Linked DNA regions of Drosophila melanogaster. The protein of the gene in region 1 interacts with the protein of each later gene in a pairwise test. Each region holds a gene or a part of one and is shown on either strand. Other genes may lie near its edges.

The links.
Region 2: the proteins of slmb (region 1) and SkpA interact in a two-hybrid assay, tested with the Drosophila melanogaster proteins (3 studies listed by BioGRID).

The regions. Positions count from the first base shown.
Region 1 is NT_033777.3:21,124,452-21,129,741, forward strand, and holds the start of slmb (supernumerary limbs), read right to left. Parts: upstream 3,035-5,290; 5' UTR 2,544-3,034; coding exon 2,487-2,543; intron 934-2,486; coding exon 711-933; intron 1-710. Other genes in the region: CG5793 (uncharacterized protein), read left to right, coding at 3,527-3,603, 3,670-3,766, 3,896-4,042, 4,101-4,442; Obp93a (Odorant-binding protein 93a), read right to left, coding at 4,499-4,698, 4,753-4,909, 4,977-5,111, 5,168-5,266.
Region 2 is NC_004354.4:654,388-658,717, forward strand, and holds SkpA (SKP1-related A), read left to right. Parts: upstream 1-1,726; 5' UTR 1,727-2,397; exon of another isoform or gene 2,398-2,711; 5' UTR 2,712-2,722; coding exon 2,723-3,211; 3' UTR 3,212-3,512; downstream 3,513-4,330.

The DNA.
Region 1 (5,290 bases):
AACATGCCCGGCAACAATCCGGAGGAGCAAGGGTGTCTGTCGGGGGACGCGGAACGAATCGCACCGGGTTCAGAGCGCGGCTTGCCTTTCATGTTGTTCAACTTTGTACCTGCAGTTTGTTATTGTTTCGCCAATTGCGTGTGTCGAGGGCTTAAACTCAGCTTTGTGCTGCTAGACTCGCCTGAGATTCTAATGGTGGATGAGCCATTTCTGAGCCTTCATTTTAGGAGGAAAACGGTCAAACTCCGATGGTGGAATTCGCACCCTAACAGCTGTTATTGCCTTCTTATCGGCTGCGTGAATTGGTTTCTCTATTGGTCAACTGGGATTACTGACCTTCCCATACAAAGCATGCTGTTGATAACAACTGGGTTATAAATCACGTTCTTGGAATGACTTAGCATGACTAATTTATCCGTTCAATATTTATAATATTTAGGAATAGATCTAACAGCTTCAAAAATGCAGATTAATATATGATATACCACTTCATCATTTCCTCACTTGTAGAATAACCACTATTGAATCCACAGCTAAAACTGCATTTTTAACGTTCATATTTTCATAGTCGTTGGCTAACATGTTACAGTTTACAGTCTTGGCCTAATACTTTGTTGTGAACGTAATATATCAATCTGTATGAACGGAAGTTATTTCTCCACTTCGACTGGACTCAGGTGGCAATAGCCAGTGTATCGGCAGGCACTCACTTGGCAGCAATGTGATAAAGTCCCGCTGGAGCATCGGCTTGAGATAGGCATTGATCTGTCCGTGTTGATAGTGGCACATGCGCGACAGCAGGTGCTCCACAAAGTCCACCTGGCCCGACTCGCTCCACTGGGTGAAGTACTGAAAGCAGAGTTCCCGCTCCGTTTGGTAGGTGGGCGATGAGTCTTTCTTGCGCACCGGGTCGTACAGCATAGTGGTTGTGAACTGTATGGGTGAAAAGTGGCATAAAGAAGCAAATTAATTATGAGATTGCATTTGTTTCGTTTTTGTTGTTGTTGTTGTTGTTGTGGGGCGACGATGATGTGTTATGGGGTGCTTCGATGTCAAGGGGCGATCGTTAAAACTGGAAAAGTAGGTAGCTGCTGGTTGTGCAACTTTTCTTTAGTTTAGGCTACCGACGACCCAAACTGGGGGCTTAAAATTAGGCAATTAGCTTCGACTACGCTGAGCGTTTCTTTCTATTCGTAATTTTTCTCATTTTTTTTTTATTCGGCGGCGAAAGAGTTTGCAAAGCGGATTTCTGAAGAATGAAAAACGCGACTGGCAGCGCAGCGGTAGAAACAGATCATTCACACGGCCAGTTTATAAATAATAATTGTATCGATGTTTATTTGGTCTTCCATGCTCATTATGCGCATTCTATATATAGACATACCCATTGATGGGCCCCAATTAAATCAAACGTCATCAATTAAACGCTAAAGATCTCGGCAAACAATTTTATCGGCGTGAAGTAAACAAATTGGTCGATTCGAGTGTGAGTGATTTGAGTAATTAAGTTAACTGCAATGCCAGCAATGCGAAAACCTTGCCAGTATTTGTAGTAAATGTTGTGAATATGTATGTACAAACATACTAAGTTGTATTCGGGTCGGTTGCCTTAATTTAATTGCCGTATTATGGTTTTTGTAAGCTTTAGTTGTTTGCCTTTGCCTGGTAACTTTGAGCTGAAGGATGCTACTTAAACTATGCACTGATTATGCTATGAGAAAGGTTTGTGGCAATAAGCAATATGAATGTATATATCCTCTAATTGATAGTTAATAATATCTCGTTTGTGTTTCGCTGCTATTACCAAGAAGCCATCTGTCTCATTAACCAGATTCCACCTTGAATCCGGCGAAATTAAAGCCCAGATGACTCAAGCGAAACCGAGCGAAAAAATTGAAAATAAAAAACGATTTTTTTGGCCCATTACTCGATGGTTTTACGCGAACTGACCTTCAGTAAGCCGCCTATCGTATATAGCTCCACAATTAAATAAGTACTGATTGAAATGTACACGGCCGTACTTTGTGCACAGCGTTTGTTATTAATTGTGTACACAAACTCGAGGCCAATTAACGAAATCTTAAGACTCGAAAACCGGAGATTGGGGATATATACATATATATGCAACGATAATTGAACAAAGGGGATGATGATGATGATGCTGGCGATGAATAAGTAGGCTAATGTCTAATATCCACAAGAGTTTAAGGTTATAGCCCATGGGATGGCTATGTGCCACAGTGTCCGAATTTAATAGAGTGCACGAGTGCAAAATCTGTAGTATATACGAAAATAAAGCACTAGCACACGCACACCAGTGTGTGACAACACGCATAGGTGGCGTAGGTGTGCGTGCCCCTGTGTGTGTGTATGTGTGTGGGTCTATTGAGGCGACACCTTGGGCAATATGTACTTAAATCGGTGTGTTTAATGCATTTAGAAGGGCAGAGATCCCGCTTAAAGCAGGTAACTTAGCGAAAACTCACGGCCTGTGCATTGGAGTTGGTTTCGTCCATTATTTTGTCAGTCTCCATTTTCATCATTGTGTTGTTTGTGTGTTTGTAGAGTTTACTGGCTCGTCGTTTGCTTCTCTCTCACTCGCTCACTGCCAGAGTTTTCCGTCGCACTCGCACTCACGCACCACGTAGCGTTTTTCGCTGATTTTTCGTTAACACGTCTCGCAAATCGCTTTTCGCCAGCGATTTCATATAATTTTTAGGTCGAAGGAAAATTACAATTTGCTCGTCTCGGTTTCTGTAGGACCGCAGGCGGGATGCGCGAAAACGGCGAGGCGAACGCGATGGCAAAGGCAAACTCAACTTGCCGAGGTCCCTCACCAATTGAGCGAATGTCGTATGCAAGTCATTATTCTCACCGCTCCTGGCGGCTTGCACGTTGTTTGTTTTTGCTTATTCAGATGACGCCAACTACTGGACACTCACTTTTCACACGGAGAATTTTATTTTTTTTTACCAGATCTCGCCCAAATACGGACTGCGAAACCACAAAGCCAAAGATGAGTGTGCACTATCGTTATCGATATCTGTCACATATATGAACGGTCACACTGCCACGGGCCAGTGCTGCAAAATACGGCAAGAGCACACAATTTCGTCGTTTCTGCTCTAAATTTTCGAACAGGTTGTTGCAATTACAACTATTTATGAAATGTTTTTAAGTTATTTCCCTTTCAGAGCTATGAATTGTAAGCATTGTATGGCTACCCAACACACTTTGCCAGCTCTGACAACTCTGCACATCCATATCAGCTGATTTCTCGATCGCTCTCTCCGTTTTCTGTTGTTATTTAATTGATAAACTTGTTGCGGGGGGCCACTCTCCAGATAACCCCCCACTTTTAAATTAATAAATATTGCGCAAGTAAGTGCCGTCCAGCTCGCCGAATGCTCACTTTCATTCGACCGCAGAGCTGTTCCCATTCTAATCATTTCCTTGAGCATTCATAATCGAGCTACAATACACATTTTTTTTCAAATTCACAGTGCAACTAACTCAAATCCTCAGGATGGCGTGCCAAAACCAAAATGCCGCCAACTTCTTGAGCAATGGCAAGAAAATTGTGGGGGTGGCTCTCAATTACATGTAACTCAGTGTCATAGTAATCTTGGGTCTGCATGGGTAATCCACGAATACTTTCTTCCGTCGCAGGGACGTTGTGCTGGCCAGGAACGTTCCCGTGCCCAAGGAGCCGCTCGTCTTCCTCAAGCCCACATCTTCGTACCTCCAGGAGGGTCAGCCCATTGTGGTGAGTTCTACAGAGAATTAATTAAGATAACATTAAGATAGTAGCAAGATAGCAAAAGTCCATAAACTGGAGAGTAAACGAATGGAAATTGAAAATCCCTCTTGTGATTTAAACTTTGTATTCCCCCAGTTACCAAAAGTCTTTACCAAGGTGGCATATGAAGTGGAACTAGGCGTGGTGATTGGAAAGCCCTGCAAGAACGTATCCAAGGCAGATGCCATGAGCTATGTGGCAGGATACTGCCTGGCTTTGGATCTAACTGCCCAGTGCAATTTGGTAAGAAGATGGATGCACTCAATCAAGAGCCATTGTTGTAATCAATAATCAATTTCAGGGACCAGCTCGGGCGGCCGGTCATCCGTGGACCTTGGGCAAGGGATTTGATACTTCTACGCCCGTGTCCCAGTTTATACCCATCGAAAAAGTGACGGACCCGCACAACTTGCCGCTTTGGCTCACCGTCAATGGAGACCTTAAGCAAAACGGGTGCACTGCAGACTTAATATTCAAGGTGCCCGACATCATTTCCTACGTGTCCAAGTACATGACCCTGGAGGCCAACGATCTGATCCTTACCGGAACGCCCAATGGTGCCGATGCGTTCAAGGCAGGCGATGTAATTCAGTGTGGAATGGCCGATCTCGCTAAATTGACCTTCCAAGTGGAGGCTGAATAAAAGTGAAGAATTTAATTTTGATGCTATATTCGGATATAATTGGATATGTGCAATGGCTATTTCTTCTTATTACTGGCCACATCATCACAGGCAACCAAATATTTCCACATCGCTGTGCAATCGCTGGTGTTTTTCCATTTGCTGGTCGGGCAGTTGATGTAGACCTTTTCCATGACGCAGGCCAGCAAGGTGGCAGGATAGAAGTCGCAGTCGCCCTTCTTGGGCATCCATTGGAACTCCTGCACCCGCTTCCTAGCTATTTAGAATTAACCATTATTAAGTAGAAAAAAACTTTCGTATGCTAACTCACCGTAGTCCGTGCAACTATTGAGGCTCTTCAACATCAGTTGCGACATATTCGGATCGTTTTTGTAGCGTTGCTGATAGCTCTTCTGCAATGCCTGGGTATTAACAGTGCCATTGCTCAACAAGAATCCATTGGTCCTGAAGGAGCACTCCGCAATACACTGAGGATTACACGTTTCCCAAGAGTAAAGCCAGTTTTAAAATGATATATTTTAGAGCGATACTTACTGCATGCAAAGCCACTTTATCCGACTTAAGATTGCGCACTTCCCCATTCGAATTGGTTGAATTATTGCCCAGCAAGGACTTGCGACACGAATTGATGGCCTTGTCGTTTTTTTGAACATCACAGCATGAGCTCAACTGCCAAATATTCAGTTGTAGTAATAAAAACACGATTTTATTTGAAGTTTTCATACAAACTTTGGCTGCTTTGCGTGATCGCAGCTTGTATAATTAAAGGATTTTGCACAATAGCTAAAAACTATTACAACGAAAAGCAGATTATACACATACATGTTGTGCTTAAAATTTATAATTAA
Region 2 (4,330 bases), on another chromosome or scaffold:
GATGACTTGCAATAATCCTCAATCCGCAAACCATATGTTCCGGCATTTTGCCAATATATTCGCTCCGTTGAAAATGGCCCTAATTTAGTTTTTATTCCTACGGCTTCGCGTTTGAAAGAGAGAGAGAGAGACCGAGAAAGAGGGGGCTTGTAACTGATGTCGTCGACAGCCATCCCTCTCGCTCGCACTTATTCCAAGCCCTTTTAGCCCATGCACACACACGTTTAACAAAAATCAATTAACTTGAAAGCACATGTAAAAAAAAGTATTGATCCACAAAAAACAAAAGGCACTTCGGTAATCCTGGAATACACACACTTACTGCCGAAAATATTTAAAATGAATGGGTACGCGTATATATTTATATGCTGGTGAACAAAAGGCGAGCATAACAAAAATGTCTTATCGATTTGCATGCGCAGCAGACAGTAATTGCAAATCTTGTATTTTCTTGAGTCTGTGCAACAACTGAAATACCTTTCTGGGCATAAACTATCATAAACACAAGTGGGTGGTGCTGGGAAACATCGCTGGAATTGAATATTTGTTTGTTGGTCGATTTGTTCTGAATGGAAACGAATGTCGTTTGCAAATTGCTCTCTCAGCTGTTTACAAACGCATACCACATAACGCAGGTGAGAGAGAGAGGGAGGCATATGCGCAGTGAGAATGGAAGATGAAGGGTTGCCAAGTGCGCAAAGGCTTGCAAATTAAGTACACTTGTGTGCGGGGTAACCGAAAAACGGGTGTTTACAATAAATTTCGCTGGGTGGATGTAGCTTTGTAATTTGAGTTCGCCAATTTTTTTTGTTGTTAACAGCATTTCGAAGCGGTTGCCAACCCTAGACGCTGGCTGGTTGCATGGTAACGAAAAATGGCGGCGCCTGTTACACACACTCACACACACATGCACGCACAGTCTGCTGTGTTTATGCACTTCATGCTGTTCCGATTTTTTTTTTGCACTTTTTCGATTTGTTGTCTGCATTTACCTTAAATGAATTTATTAACTAAGGCGATATTGTGCCTCTCGCTCAATCTCGCAAAACGATGCTTTGTCTGCTGCTTCTCTGTGCGTGTGTCCGTCTCTTTCCACGGCTTTTCGTCGAGACTCACATATACAAACGGCGACACACTGGATTGGAGCTGGACTCCGTTTTGGATGGCTTGGCTTTGGCTGCGTACCCAAAATAAATCGCGCTTGCAGTCCCAAATCATTTTAGTTCTTGACGCCTTTGTTCCACAAAAACTTCCAACCGCCGTCCATGGCTCGTGCTTTCTCTTTCGCTCGCGAGACGCTCCAAAAGTCGCGAGTATGGGAAGAGAATGTATCCCTCGCTCTTTCACGCCTAGAAGCGGCTGTAGCACACACAAGCACACGTAAACCCAGCCGTATGCATATACATATATTCCCTCTACTAGCGAGACGTGTGTACGTGCGTATGTATGTATGCTTTTTTCACTTCTTTCTCCTCTGCGTTCTTTGCACCAAGTGTCGCTGTTGCTATTTGCTACCGCCGCTCCTCTTGACGAATAAGTCGGGACTTGTATCAGCTCTAATTCGGACTTAGTTTACAAAATGCGGCTGCTTTTTTTCCGCGATACTCGGATTAGTGATGTAAAAAGACGTTGATGCTTCGACCACTGAAGTCAGTGCGATATGTATCGATAATTGAATGCCATCGATTGCTACGATTAAAACTGCCACCGCAGTTAGCGGAGACGCTCACCATTCTCTATTCGCCATTTGAAAGTATCGGTGTAATTTGTTTTCAGAGAAATTAATTTCCGTTTACTGTGCAATTCGGTGTGAAAGTGTTCAGATTTATCAATGCGTATTCTGCTTTCGACTTCGCCACCAATCTGTGCTGCAAGTTACCATTACCAGGTCCACCTGGTTCCCGCCAGTTTTCTTTCATTGTGGCTAGTTGTTGTTCGTGCCTTCGATAAAGACGTTTAGAGGTGTTTTTAGAGTTTCGCCATCTGGTCACTATAGCCGTTTCGTTTTTTACGTGAGTATTGTGAATTTGGTGTGTTGATTTATATCTCAGTTGGAGCCTGCGTGGAAATAGTGTCAGTACGTTTAAAGGCATCATCGTAAGGTTAGTCGGAAAACAAATAAAAAGCCTACAAATAGCAAGCAAGAACGCTTTCGCAACCACAAGAAAAACGAACATACGCACGCATCCATCTGTGGTAGAGTCGGCTTGTGTGGGGGTGAGTGGATGTGTGGGTGAGCATTTCTGGAAAGTGCCGTTCTCTATGTTTCGATTCTACTTATCCCTTCATCACCATTTCATCGTTGAATCATCACGAAAGAAACATCGAAAGTGCACAATCGTTTGTTATCTTTGTACGAAAACAACGGTGATTTCCACACAGGCATAACCTGCAAGAGTAATACGATACAAATTTTGATCTGATATGACCTCATTTTAGTCGGTTTGAATTTTAAAGAGAGCGACTCTGCAAACTGCAGGGATATGAACATACAAAATTCACAAATGATTGTTTGCATCCTAGTTGCTTATATTCATTTACACGCATGCTTATATGCTTACATCTGTTATCAATAATTGACGACTTGGTGCATGCGAAGCAAACGCATTGAAATGACTATTGGGATCCACACACTGTTAAAAAACACACTGATTGCACTGCCACACATTTCTCAACTAGAACCTAATGTTTTATACTGAACTTAACTGCAGGAAAGCCCAAAATGCCCAGCATCAAGTTGCAATCTTCGGATGAGGAGATCTTTGACACGGATATCCAGATCGCCAAGTGCTCCGGCACTATCAAGACCATGCTGGAGGACTGCGGCATGGAGGACGATGAGAATGCCATTGTGCCGTTGCCCAATGTGAATTCGACGATTCTTCGCAAGGTGCTTACCTGGGCTCACTACCACAAGGACGACCCCCAGCCAACGGAGGATGATGAGAGCAAGGAGAAGCGCACAGACGACATTATCTCATGGGATGCAGATTTCCTAAAAGTCGACCAGGGCACACTGTTTGAGCTGATATTGGCAGCGAACTATCTGGACATTAAGGGCCTTCTGGAGCTCACCTGCAAGACTGTTGCAAACATGATTAAGGGAAAGACTCCCGAGGAAATACGCAAGACCTTCAACATTAAGAAGGACTTTTCGCCCGCCGAGGAGGAGCAGGTGCGCAAGGAGAACGAGTGGTGCGAGGAGAAGTAAAGCGCGGCATTTCGCGGGACCAACATTAAGTTGAAACAGCTAGGGGATTCGGGAACGAATTGGATTTGCAGCATTGCAACTTTACTTAGTTGCTACTTTCATTTACATTTTTTTTTATTTTTAACCCCAGCAGAGACTCGATTTAAATTGTGTATAAATGATCTGTTGCTGATTTGATTCGCGGGGTTCATTTTTTGTCGTAAATATATCTCATATACATACATATGCGAGATTGTAACACTCTCTTTAACCTATTGGAGTAACACTTGATTTCACTTTAATAAATATAACTACCCAACACAAAGACACAGCCTATTTTGTGGGCTTCCCGGAGGGGTTAGGGTCCAAGGACTTCTCAAATTAAGAAGTGCTCTTTATTCGTTATCTTGTGTTTAGAAACGTTTGCAAGCGTTTGAAATGGATACGCATGCCATTTATGGTCCAGTCGGTAAAATTTTACGTGTTCCCAAGAAGGTACATATATATCTTAGATTATCTTATCTATAGAAACTACATTCATAAGATCACGCTTTCGGCGAATAGCGAGTAATACTGTAGCTGCCACTTTGCCACTTAGTGTGCAATTGAAATGCGCGCCAACGCATGTTCTCATATGCGGAGCGTTTAGCAGCCCTTAAAAAGCTTTTCATGTTGCTTTTAAAAAGCTACGACGGGTGTGGAAATTAGATTTGTGACGCTTTATATATCTTTTTTTTATATCGTCTGGGGTACAGCATGGTTTTAGGATTTTAGAAGAAAGCAGTAATTTTGTAAGAATCGAAGAACGGGGGGATATTTATAATTTTCATATTAACCTTGTCTTTGTTTGCTTTTGAAATTATGAATACTTCGAAAGATAATTATCTTGTGCGCATTCCATTCTGGCTTAGACTGGGTTGAGCTAAAAATGATTTGAAATACAAATTTTTAGGTGTCCGCTGATATATAAACAGTATGATGTTTTTGCACTTTTTTCCCTGAAGTTTTCCTTGTTGTCTCGCTTGCCAATGCTGAACAAAGTAGCCAAAGGACCTTTACTTGAAGCTTTGAGAGCGGAAAATATATTCGGGGACAATTGCTTTAAGTGTGCACTAGGCTTGGCTAGATGCCCGTGCCAAA